3 linked regions of the Rattus norvegicus genome follow. Each later gene encodes a partner of the first gene's protein in a complex. Links are inferred from orthologs where the notes say so. Each region holds a gene or a part of one and is shown in the gene's direction. Other genes may lie near its edges.

Region 1 (3,646 bases):
TCATCCAGTGGTGAGTCTCTGCATTCACTGCCATCTACTGCAACTGTGCATTTTCAGAGTACAATAAGTATAACCTCCAGCCCCCTTTGTTTTCCTTCACAGAAAATGATCCACAGTCTATTTCTCATCAACTGTTCTGGCGACATATTTCTAGAAAAACACTGGAAGAGCGTTGTAAGCCAATCTGTGTGTGACTATTTCTTTGAAGCTCAGGAGAAAGCTGCTGATGTTGAAAATGTACCACCTGTCATTTCAACACCTCACCACTACCTCATTAGTATCTACCGGGATAAGCTCTTCTTTGTGTCTGTGATACAGACTGAAGTGCCACCTCTCTTTGTAATTGAGTTTCTGCATCGAGTTGCTGACACTTTTCAGGTTTGTATCTGTCAAACTGTTGAAACTAAATCACCCAAGATAGTTCAAGGAGACAGACAGACAGACACACACACACACACACACACACACACACAAACACACACACACTGGTTATTGAAGTTTCTGTGTACTGTCTGACTTCTCTTTGCAACTAAACATATCTCATAAACACGTGCTGAGGGTATACGGTAGCACACATCGCCACTCTACTCATTGTTTTTTATGTGCGGCAAATTATATCATGAGGAGACAGGAGTGCCCTCCAACAAGTATTCTCTGGATCATCACAAAGTTTTTATTGATCATGAGATCCTTTATATTTCTGTTGTCTATTTCCTATTGTTTTGACGAGTAAACCAAATGGCTTAAAGCTCTGTAAGTGTGTGGGTGTGGGTTAATAGGGCAAATGAAGTTTATGCCTCACATTCCAGATTAATGTCTCAGTACTTTCTGGCATGATATAGTAGGAATCAGCTCAGTATAAATACAATAAGAAAATATTGAAGAGAAATGTTAGGACTTCCATAGAGAATTTTTTTCAAGCCTATATATTTCTAGCCTCATTAACCATGAGTTAACCTACTATTAGTTTACTCCAGTAGTTTACAAAGGGGATTAAGAACAGCAAGCCTTCCTCCCTGCCTTCTCTTGTTCAACACCATGACTGTTTTGTTAGGACTACTTTGGTGAGTGTTCAGAGGCTGCAATTAAGGATAATGTGGTCATAGTGTATGAGCTCTTGGAAGAAATGTTAGACAATGGATTCCCACTGGCTACCGAATCTAACATTCTGAAAGAACTGATTAAACCACCAACAATTCTACGTTCTGTCGTCAATTCTATTACAGGTATGAAAAATGAAAACACTGCTAGGAACTGATCCATTGAAACTGTATGAACAGCTCATTTTGCTCATATGACAGACTATTAGGGCAGTCCAGTTTGGCCAAAATTAAAGTTAACAATAATGTTTAAATGAATGTATATCTCTTCTCTCTCTCTCTCTCTCTCTCTCTCTCTCTCTCTCTCTCTCTCTCGGTGTGTAAGTGTGTGTGCACATGAATGCACACATGCCATAGTGTACACATAGAGGTCAGAAGACAGTGAGAGTTGGTTCTCCCCCTCTACCACATGCAATCTGGAGATTGAATCAGGTCCTAAGGCATAGCATCAAATGCCTTTACCCACTGGCCCATCTGGCCAGGCCCCCTTTTCTTTTGGAAGGTGGAGAACAGTAACAGAAACAGATAATATGTCAGGTGCAGCTCACATGTGTAATCATATCACTTGGGAATTGCTAAGTTCAGGGCCAATTTGGTATATAGAATGAGAAATTTGTTTTGTTTTGTTTATTGAAAGAGGCTCAGTCTTGAAGGACAAAGGACTTTTAGGGTTATACAGCTCATTTTCCTGTTGCTGGGTTCAATGCACAATACTTCAGAGAAAGAAAAACTAGTCAGTAGAAAATTAGATCATTAGTAGATGTCATGCATATTGGGCCTTATGCTTTTTTATAAATAAGCTTTCAATTGGGTATAATTCTAGGCCATATCTAGAAATTCAGTATATTCAGTTCATCCTTCGATTAAATCTACAAAAAGCGGGCATGGTGGCACAAGCCTTTAATCCTAGCATTCAGGAGAATTTGAGACCAGCCTAGTCTACAGAGTGAGTTCCAGGCTAGCCAGAGCTACATAATGGGATTCCATGCAAAAGAAAAAAAAGTCTAATAAAGGAAGATTCTTACTGAATGCTATATACCTCTCCAGCCAAATCTCTGGTTGTCCTTTTAACGTTGGGGAATTACACTCTGGGAAAACGGTTTAAATAAGAGCACTGTGGTATTTCATGGACACTGTAGTGAGGCACTGCAGATCTCTCACAGTACGAAGTGTGTTTGGTGGGGGAAACAGTACAAACTCGATAGATACATAGGTAGGTAGGTAGGTAGGTAGGTAGGTAGGTAGGTAGGTAGGTAGACAGACAGACAGAGAGATAAGTAGGTAGACAGACAGGCAAGCAGACAGACAGAGAGAGAGATATTTACAAAGAGAAAAATGCTAAAATGTTCACATTGACTATTTTTAGCTAAGGAGCCAGCCATCCTCATTTTTGCCGTATATGTTTTAAAATATATATTATGAATGTGTGCATGTGCATGGAGGACATTAGGTGTCATGTTCTGTTGCTCTCACCCGAGTTCTTTGTTGAGGAGAAGAGGTCCTCTGAACCTGGAGCTAGGTTGGCTCCCAGCCCTAGCCATGTGCGGCACATAGCCACATCCATCTTTTTATGTGTGTCCGGGGATCTGGCAGGTCCTCATGTCTGTATAGCAAGCACTTTTATCCACTGAGCCATCTCTCCAGCCCATTTCATACTTTTTAACTTTTAAGAAAAAAAATGGATAGGAAAAAATTACTAATGTGTAGTGTAAAACTATAGCATGGGATGATGACATATAAGAGAATTGTTCAGGCTGGATGTGGTGTGCACACCTGTTATCCCAACTACTAGGGCAACTAAAGGAGAGCAGTTGTAAGTTCACGGATACAGAGTCTTGATTATTAAACTAAAACCCTGAGTCTGTTTCCTAGTGCCACACCTATGTACACATACCAAAGAATGGTTCAATAGTTGAAGTAATCTTTCTTGAACTACCAAGTGGCCCTAGCACAGGACCCAGCAGAATCAGTAGAATGTGGAGTAAGATAAGTAAGAGCACTTATGAGGAAAATACACATAAAGTGGGAGGCTGAGCTGTGTCAGCCCCTCGAGCAGAAGTAGAGCTGTTCATAACTGAGCGCTGAAGGACATTCGGAGAAGGTGCAATTGGCCTACGCCTCTTCCCGTCCCAGCAGGACAGGAAGCCAAGATGGGAGAACACTTGTGCTGGGCCTAAAAAAAACATTTAACTTTTATCAGAAAACAAGCAGGGAGCACTAAAGGTTTCTGAACAGGGAAATAATATGATTAAAGCAGTGTTTTTCTAAAACACTTGGAAAGTAACAGGCTGGAGACAGGATCACCAGCAATAAATAGACTAAAACTAATGTTAATCTTGTTAGCTGCACACACTTCTCTAGCATTTGGGGGGCTGATGTGGGAGGATCCCCAGTTCTAAGCCATCCTGGACTATACACATATCTTGTCTTTAAAAACTAATCTAGAGTGGAATGTATTGTGTTGCTGTGTAGTCAAGAATGACTGAATTTGCAATCCTCCTGCCTCCACTTCCTCACAAGTGCTGGGGTTAAAGTACACACTCCAC
Region 2 (3,646 bases), on another chromosome or scaffold:
TGGGAGTATAATGTGAGTGACGTAACAGTGGGCTCTGAATGAGAATATATATTCTGTGTTTGGAATGGATACCTTTCCTGTCAGGACTACATGTCTAGCACTTGGTTTCTCTATGAAAGTCTCAAACTTCTCTTCTGAGTTCACAGTGAACTTGCCAGGAGTCTGCGTCCTGTAATAAGAATTCATTAATGTTTCCTTTGTTTATATAAACAGGCAAAAGAGTGGACCCCACTTGGAAAAACAAAGAAAGAAAAACCTGAGAAGAAATTTTATTCAGAATCTGAGGAGGAGGAGGAGGAAGAAGAGGAAGATGAAGAAGATGAGGAGGAGGATCCCTCTGATAGCAGCAGTGACAGTGGTGGGCTTTATAATAATTGAAGTGTATTGTCACATAAGATGCCCTTATCTTTTCCTCTCTTTCTCCCTCCAGTCTGTTACTAAACTAAAGACATCTCAGGATTTACTTTCAGAACTAGGAAGGAAGTTGAGAGCAGTGTGTACTGAAGAAAGCATCTAGGCCTGGACTGAGAATCCCCGCTTCAGCTGCACCACTAAGCGAGGCACCTACTTTCCCAGCTGAGAGCTGGGGAGGAGACTTTAAAGCACACCTTACTCCCAGCACTTAGGAGGCCGAGTGCACTACACTCGATCGAGGCCAGCATGGTCAACAGAGACAGTTTCAGAACAGCCATGGCTACACATGGTCTTGGAAGACCAAAAAAAAAGTAAAACTAAAATGAAAGCAAACCCAAAACTTTATAACTAAAATTCTGCGTGTGATTTACATTAGTGGACATGTTTGAGTCACAAGTCAAAAGTGTGACACGGTGGCAGTCTGGCCCAAGCTGTGTCCGAGTTCTCTACCTCCTTCTCACCCGCCCTCTGAAAAGCTTTGTAATAGCTGATAAATTAACCCCATACATTGTCTTCTTCTATAATAAGCCAAATACCTCAACCCAAAAGTTAACATAGAAAATATGTAAGTTGTTTACAAGCCTGTGCCCAGGTTAGCGTTGTTCAACATCCTTATGGCGTTCTCTCACCTCAGTGGCTCCTGATGAGGTTGTCTGAGTACACAGGACTGAGAGGGGTTCTTCTGTACGCCCAGAGGGAAATAGCTGCATCCGATTAGCTGGACACAGCTTGCCATTGAGTCCCATGTGGTGACAGGCAGTGGATGAATTTGATGCTGTTTGCCTGCTCCCTTTTTCTTTGCGTGAGGGTTGGATGGTGGGTGGGTGGGAATGCTGTGTGCCTGTGTGTGAGGTGAGAACATTCACCTGTGCATGCATGTGTAGAGGCCAGATGTCAATGTCACATGTCTCTCTTTTTCAAATTTTGGTTACATATATTCATTTACAGGTGTGGGAGAGAGGCACAATTCTTGGCACTTGTGTAGAGATAAGAGGCCACCTTGAAGGGATCAGTTCTAAGGGGTCAAACTCAGCTTCGCAGCAAGCGCTGTCTCTCAGCCTCGCACCTCAGTTTTTGAGGCAGTCTTTCACTGTTTTTTCCTAAGCTGACTAATGAGCACCAGCGACCCTCCATCTGTCCACCTCTGCCAAACACTCCATGAGCACCACCATGCTTGCCTTCACACGTGCTGGGTGCTGGGAGCCAAATACAGCTTCTCGTGCTTGTGCAGCAAGCACTTTATCCACTGAACCACCTCTCAGCCCTGTAATTTCTTTTTTTTATTTCTAGTATGAATCAGTTATATTTCTCTGTCCTGTCTGTCCATCTGTCTGTCTGTCTGTCTCTCTCTGGTTGCACAGCAGATCGCAGCTCTCTGTGTAGAAGCTCTGTTCGGGTAGGTTGTGGAGGATGTTACGGCAGGTGCCTTGCTGTGCGCCAGTCCTGTTGCGCATGCTTCGACTCATGTGCTTGCCCCAACGGCTCTGAAGTATTTCCCTTGCTGAAAAGGAAACTGGGAGTCAGAGGTTGTGTAACTTGCAGTCTTAGAGCTGGGGAGTGGCTTAGCCAAGATTTGAACCTGGGCCTCTCACGGGAGAACCCAGCCATCCTGGCTTTGCACCGTGGCATAGAAAGGAATGCCCCGAAGCAGGTGTGGGAGCAGCGTTTACCCTCAGGTTGTGTATGCTGGGGGCACTTCACTCTGTGGGTGATGAGCAGGGCAGTGGGCTGCCCTTTGATTTACTGTACAGCTCTGCACCTAAGGTCATGTGTAATAGTGAAAATTAGGCTGCATTTTACTACATACACCAATATATATGTATTTTGAGAGAATGACCCACATGTAGCCCAGGCTGGCCCTGAACTCAAGCTTATTCATCCTGCCTCAGCCTCCTGAATCCTTGAGCTACAGGTGTGCTCCATCATGCCCAGATCGTCATTCATCACCTCTGCAGGAACACAGGCATGCTATGTTAGCTCAGGCTAGCAAAAGTAAGTCAAAACTCTTAGTTTCTGCTTATAAACTTAGACATTTTTGGGGAATGACTTAAAAGCTCTTTTCTCTCTCAAAATTGGTTCCTAGGAAGATTAAAATGATTTCTTTGTTTTACCACTCTTATTCCTTCTTTCATAACACAAAGGTGTGCCATAGCTAGCTGCTTTAGGTTAAAGAGAGACCCTCTCGGCGGGCGTGTTTCCTTGTTCATCTCGCCTTCTGTGTGAGTCCTTCCCGACTGCCTCTGAGCAGACGAGGTCCTCCTAAGGCAGTACCTCGTTTCCCTCTGTCGCTGTCGATGTTATGGTCTCCTCCACTAATTGAATGGTTTAAGTGAAACTGCTCTGTCTTGCAGAGAGTGGGTCTGGACGTGAGAGTGGAGACTCAGGCAGCAGCAGCGAGGACAGCAGCGAGGACTCCTCCAGTGGACAAGACAGCGAGACCGGAAGCGAGGCAGAAGCAGAACACCAGAGGGTGGCCAAGACGAACTCCAAAACCAAGAGGAAAAGGTGATGCAGTCAGTTTTCCTCCAGAGGTTCCCCAGAGTTACTATTTTTCCTTAATTCTCAGTCAGAAACGCCCGTGTATTTTCTCCAAAACAGATGTTAAGCCTTGACTTGGGTTCCGTGCTTGGGTTCCGTTTTGGACCTGAGCAGATCTTAGGGTGCATTTTCACCTTGGAAGACGGCCTTAAGGATAAGCAGAAGATGAAACACTTAATTACCCTTTGCAGCAATTTTGCTGAGGGCTAAAATTAAATCCTCCAGCACTTTGCCATTATGTAACCAAGACAATTGATTTTTCTAAATAATGTTACATTAAAAAATTAGGATCCAAATATCAGAGTCAAAGGCTGTGAAGGAAGACGGTCAGAAGATACTTAAGGGTTGGTGCTTTTCAAGATCTGCCATTATCAACAGTGTCCTCATGTGTTAAGGCGTCATTAAGATTTTGAGTAATTGGGGCTAATACCTTGGATTGTGTGGCTCTGTTTCCCCTCCCCTGCTGTCAGAGTGGCCTCCGCTGACTCCCTGGCCCTTCTCTGGGGCCTGCTGCCCACTCCCATGATGAGCTTGCAGCTTGGGCTCAGTCGTGGCTGACAGCACTGATTGCGCGCAGTACGCTCTCTGCTCCTTTTATTACAGACAGTAATTAAAGCAGCTCGCCCTGCCACTTCCATAACAAACACAGCATAATGCCCTAATTATGACTTTATTAATTTAAGTCAGGATTTAA
Region 3 (4,314 bases), on another chromosome or scaffold:
TTTGTTACTACGGGGTCTACAGTTCTGAGGAGGAAGAACTTAGCTTGAATGAAAAGTCTGTAACAGGAGGAATCCTCAAGCTAAAACTCAGGGCCTTCAAGGTAGGTATGGTGACACTGGCCCTTAATCCCAGCACACTGAAGGCAGAGGCAGGCTAATCTGTGTTGAGGCCAACCTGGCTACACAATGAGTTCCAGGACAGTCAGGGTTATACAGAGAGACCCTATCTCCAAAACAAAACGGTAATAACATAAAAGCCGGGGTTCTTCATGTCATGGTGGTACACACCCATAATCACTGCACTCCTGACAGAATGACCGCCCAGAGTCTGGCCCATACAAGTTCCAACTCAACCTGGGTCTTAGGATGACACCATGACCCAAAACAACAAACATTTTGAGTGTTACATTCACAAAAGAGGGAGATATTTTAGTATTGAATTCTTCATGGAAATACTCATGCCCATCAACATGATCTTCGACCATCAGGAATGCTCAAAAAACACTGCGCCCACACATGAAATCCAAGCACTCAGGAAGGAGAAGCAGGCAGATCTGAACTTGAGGCCAGTTAGGGATAGATACTGAAATCCTATCTTTCTTTTTAGAAACTATTTACTTCTCTAGAATTATTTTATGTATGAGTACACTACAGCTGTCTTCAGACACAACGGAAGAGGGCCTCAGATCCCATTACAGATGGTGTGAGCCACTATGTGGTTGCTGGGAATTGAACTCAGGACCTCTGAAAGAGCAGTCAGTGCTCTTAACCTCTGAGCCATCTCTCCAGCCCGAAATCCCATTTGGCGCCCTCTTCCGGTGTGTCTGAAGACAGCGACAGTGTACTCATATACATAAATCTTTTTTAAAAAGTGTCTTTCCCACATTCCCACCGTCTACATATCCTACAGGACTGTCCTCTGCCTGGACCACCGATTGGGACATGGATATACTTGGGGTTGGCCCTAGACACTAGTCTGGGCCTAGAGATCGCCTGCGAGCCTGAAAGTAGAGGCTAGCCTGGGACTAGGGCACGGATCTAGATGTGAATACCCACCTGGAAACATATGCACACTGTCCTTATATGTAAACACTGACCATGTATTGACCTAGACATAGATGCCAGCCTACGTCTGGGCTGCAGGCCTTCAGGGGCTTGGACCTGAACAGTGCCATGCAGCTGGCCTATGGGGCCCGGTCCAGCTTTCACAGCTTCCTGTTTCCATCCTCACTTTCTCCCGCAGTGATTCTTCCCTTTCTCAAAGCCACAACCTACTTTCCATTTCAGAACACTCGGGAAAAGGACGGATGGCTAAGCATCACGTGGCCTGGAGACCACGTGACGCCGATCGGCACGTGACACCATCACGAGCCAAGTGGAGACTCCAGGAGAAGAGAGTAAGCGGCAGGCCGGCGGGCTCTCGCGAGACCCTCGGCTCACGTGACCGGCGGGCGCGGCACTGTTCACGTGACAGGCGCTGCCGGCCGCAGGGTCTTCTCGGTGCCGGCGCCGCAGCTGCCGGGCCTCTCGAGTCGGTGGACGCGCCCTCCCGCCGGCCTCGCCGCCCGCGCAACCGCCGTCCTTCGGCCTCGGCTGCGTCGCGCCATGGCGGCCCCGGGCGCCCGGCGGCCGCTGCTCCTGTTGCTGCTGGGTGAGCCCAGGAGGGAGGGAGAGCCGGGCGGGGTCGGCGTCTCGGGACCGACGGGAACGGGGCGCCAGGCCGGGCGGGAACGGGGGTGCCCGGGCCGCAGGCGTCGAGTGGGCCTCGAGCCCGCCAGCCCGCTCCGCAGTGGCGCTCGCCGCCTCGGTGCCCGTGCGGGCCCAGCCTGGGACGCTCTGTAGGAGCTGGGATGGACCTCCTGCTAGGCAGTGCTGCTGGCTTTGAGCTACCTTGTGAGAGGAATGGGTGCTGCCCCGACCCTGCCTGGGGTGCCCTTCCTCGCCGCTGTATCCCAGCAACGCAGAGTTTGGCTGCAGTGCCAGCATCTGCAGGACAGGAGAGGGGTGGTTGGCCAGATCACCTGAGCGCACAGGTTCACGATTTCCCGAGCACCTGTCAGGACCCATCGGACCCCAAAATCCTGTGACTGACTTTATGGAATTTGTTTTCCCTCTTTATTTTGCTGTTTGTATGAAACGAACTCTTTAGTCTCTGTGAGAAAGAGAGAGGTGCGCTTACTCGGCGGTTTCAAACCTGAAGCCTTGCTGAGGGACCTGTGACCCTTCACGGTTCAGTAGTTGTAAACGCGAGTACCCGAGTTGCTGAAACAAGTTCTGTCGTGTCAGAATGGCGTAATTAGGAGAGTTCACAGGGCTTGGTAAATAGCAGGAGTTATCCAACACTGCCAAAAAATTTAAACCCTTATAATGTTTATGCTTTAAAAAAAGTGGGGGGGTGTCAACCATGTAGAACATACTGTCCCCAAACTCACAGGTTCTCGCTGCCTCTGCTTCCTAAATGCTGGTTGGGATAAAGCTGTGGGACATTGGGTTGGGCCTCTTCATGATTTTAAAACTCCCCTCTGGCTGGCATAGTGGTTTACACCTTTAACCCAACGCTAGAGAGGCAGGGGGATCTCTTCAACATGCCATTCTGGTCTACATAATGAGTTCTAAGACAGCCGGGACTGGAGACCCTGTTGCAAAAATAAAATAAATAAACAAAGAATGAATGAGTAAAACTAATCAATGGTGGCTCACACTTGTTAGACCTTGGGGGCTGGGGCAGGGAGATTTTAAGTTTGGGTCAGCCTGAGTTAGGTAATGAAATCCTTCTGTAAAAAAAAAAAAAAGAAAAGAAAAGGAAAGGAAAGTGGACGGTGGCTTATGCTTGTAATCCAAGCACTTAGCAGGCTGATGTGGGAGAATTTCTGTGAATTGGAGGCTAACCTGGGCTACAGAGTGAGACACTGTTTCAAACAAAATCAAAGTGGAGAGGATAGATCTGTGGCCCTCATTGAGTGCTGTATGCCATAAATTACGTCCCAGCTTTCACGAAGGTTCTTTAACAACTTTGACGGAGATCTGAGATGTGTGACTTCAAAAATAATTTTATCTTTAACCAGTTCTATAACTCTGGAATTGTTAATTGTTCCTAGGTAAAGCTCCTCCGAGCTGCTTAAGTGCTTAATAGAAAACAGCCTTGTGTGAACTGAAACTAGTAAGCGTGCTTGCTTAGTGGGGTGGAGTTGTTGGTGCTGACCCCCCGACCTTCCCCTTTCTGGATGAGCCCTGTACAGCAGTCTAGAAGAATGAGAGGTCTAATTAGTGTTATCCTGGATTGTGGGACCTTGAATTCTTCATTAGATTTTTAGTCAAGCTGTTCAGTGGCCTTGTAATTTTGAATTTATGTTCTCTTAGACACAATTCAGACATTGTCATATTGACCTGCCCCTTCCCCCTTTTTAAGATTTACTTGTTTATGTATATGAGAACACCATGACTGTCTTAAGACACATTTCTGGACATTGGATCCCATTACAGATGGTTGTGAGCCACCATGTGGTTGTTGAGGATTGAACTCAGGACCTCTGGAAGAGCAGTCAGTGTTCCTAACCTCTGAGCCATCTCTGCAGCCCAACCTGACCTTTTAATTGGACACACAGACTGTGGCCCCTGCACTGGGAATAGCCTGTCTCCTTTGCTCTGTTAAGAGCCCCAGTCCTGACACATGAGATTGTGTGGTGCTTTCATGAAGTGGCAGGTTTGCAGAGTAGTCCTGAACTGAATCTAGAGGAAGGAACTCTTGACACTTTCTCCCACAACACTCTGTTAGCTTGCCCTAACCCATGGAAGTTAGCCAGCAGGAAGGGAGCCATCCCTCTAGAGGTGGTAGCTAGTGCAGTGTGTGGAGTAGAACTTTGGCCATTTGTTTAAATGTTCAGAGGTGATTATCACTAGACAGGAAACTGAATTCAGGGTGTGGTTGGCTGGAGACAGGGTCTCACTGTGTAAGTGATCCAGGCTGGCTTACCCAGCCAGTCCTTCACCCCGCTGGAGAAGCAGTGTGGTCAATAGGCCACACACTGAAGCAAACAAACTGGGCCACTCACTTCTGATGCCCTAAAGCAAGCTACTATCTCTGGGCCTTTCTACCTCAGCAGGAGGGAGTCATGGTGACAGCCTTTTCAGGTTGCCATAGTAATTTAACTGAAAAGTACTTTAAGCAGTACTTGTCACAAAGTGAAAGTGTCACAAGTACTTGTTAAGCAGGGCTTGCTGGGCAAAGAAGAAAGCCCCCAACAAAAGTGGTTAAGTAGCAGGAGTTTTTGGTGGGATGGTGAGAACTGAGGTGTTCTGACAGCCAGCCTCTGG

Evidence for each region.
Region 2: the proteins of Ap3m1 (region 1) and Ap3b1 are in contact, whole or in part, in a cryo-EM structure (PDB 9C5A), measured with the Homo sapiens proteins. The link is inferred for Rattus norvegicus from reciprocal best matches to the Homo sapiens genes AP3M1 and AP3B1. Residues at the interface, in NP_001307192.1 of Homo sapiens: Met1, Phe15, Leu16, Glu17, Trp20, Lys21, Ser22, Val23, Gln26, Val42, Glu43, Asn44, Val45, Pro46, Pro47, Val48, Ser50, Tyr55, Ser58, Ile59, Tyr60, Gln71, Thr72, Glu73, Val74, Pro75, Pro76, Leu77, Phe78, Ile80; in NP_003655.3 of Homo sapiens: Leu60, Lys64, Val67, Gly68, Ile70, Ala71, Lys72, Gly73, Ile92, Glu93, Lys96, Leu97, Val100, Arg104, Glu107, Asn128, Gln129, Leu130, Arg137, Arg143, Ser163, Pro164, Tyr165, Lys168, Asn169, His172, Gln175, Lys176, Leu202, Ser206.
Region 3: the proteins of Ap3m1 (region 1) and Lamp1 are in contact, whole or in part, in a cryo-EM structure (PDB 9C5A), measured with the Homo sapiens proteins. The link is inferred for Rattus norvegicus from reciprocal best matches to the Homo sapiens genes AP3M1 and LAMP1. Residues at the interface, in NP_001307192.1 of Homo sapiens: Glu178, Tyr180, Phe181, Asp182, Gln381, Val389, Asn390, Arg391, Leu392, Phe402, Lys403, Gly404, Val405, Lys406; in NP_005552.3 of Homo sapiens: Ser410, His411, Gly413, Tyr414, Gln415, Thr416, Ile417.

What each region holds. Positions count from the first base shown.
Region 1 is NC_086033.1:3,302,697-3,306,342, forward strand, and holds part of Ap3m1 (AP-3 complex subunit mu-1), read left to right. Parts: intron 1-102; coding exon of another isoform or gene 103-105; coding exon 106-378; intron 379-1,054; coding exon 1,055-1,226; intron 1,227-3,646. UniProt on the Homo sapiens protein: Part of the AP-3 complex, an adaptor-related complex which is not clathrin-associated. The complex is associated with the Golgi region as well as more peripheral structures.
Region 2 is NC_086020.1:27,449,910-27,453,555, forward strand, and holds part of Ap3b1 (AP-3 complex subunit beta-1), read left to right. Parts: intron 1-213; coding exon 214-358; intron 359-2,765; coding exon 2,766-2,919; intron 2,920-3,646. UniProt on the Homo sapiens protein: Subunit of non-clathrin- and clathrin-associated adaptor protein complex 3 (AP-3) that plays a role in protein sorting in the late-Golgi/trans-Golgi network (TGN) and/or endosomes.
Region 3 is NC_086034.1:83,072,252-83,076,565, reverse strand, and holds the start of Lamp1 (lysosome-associated membrane glycoprotein 1 precursor), read left to right. Parts: upstream 1-1,502; 5' UTR 1,503-1,605; coding exon 1,606-1,651; intron 1,652-1,657; exon of another isoform or gene 1,658-4,250; intron 4,251-4,314. UniProt on the Homo sapiens protein: Lysosomal membrane glycoprotein which plays an important role in lysosome biogenesis, lysosomal pH regulation, autophagy and cholesterol homeostasis.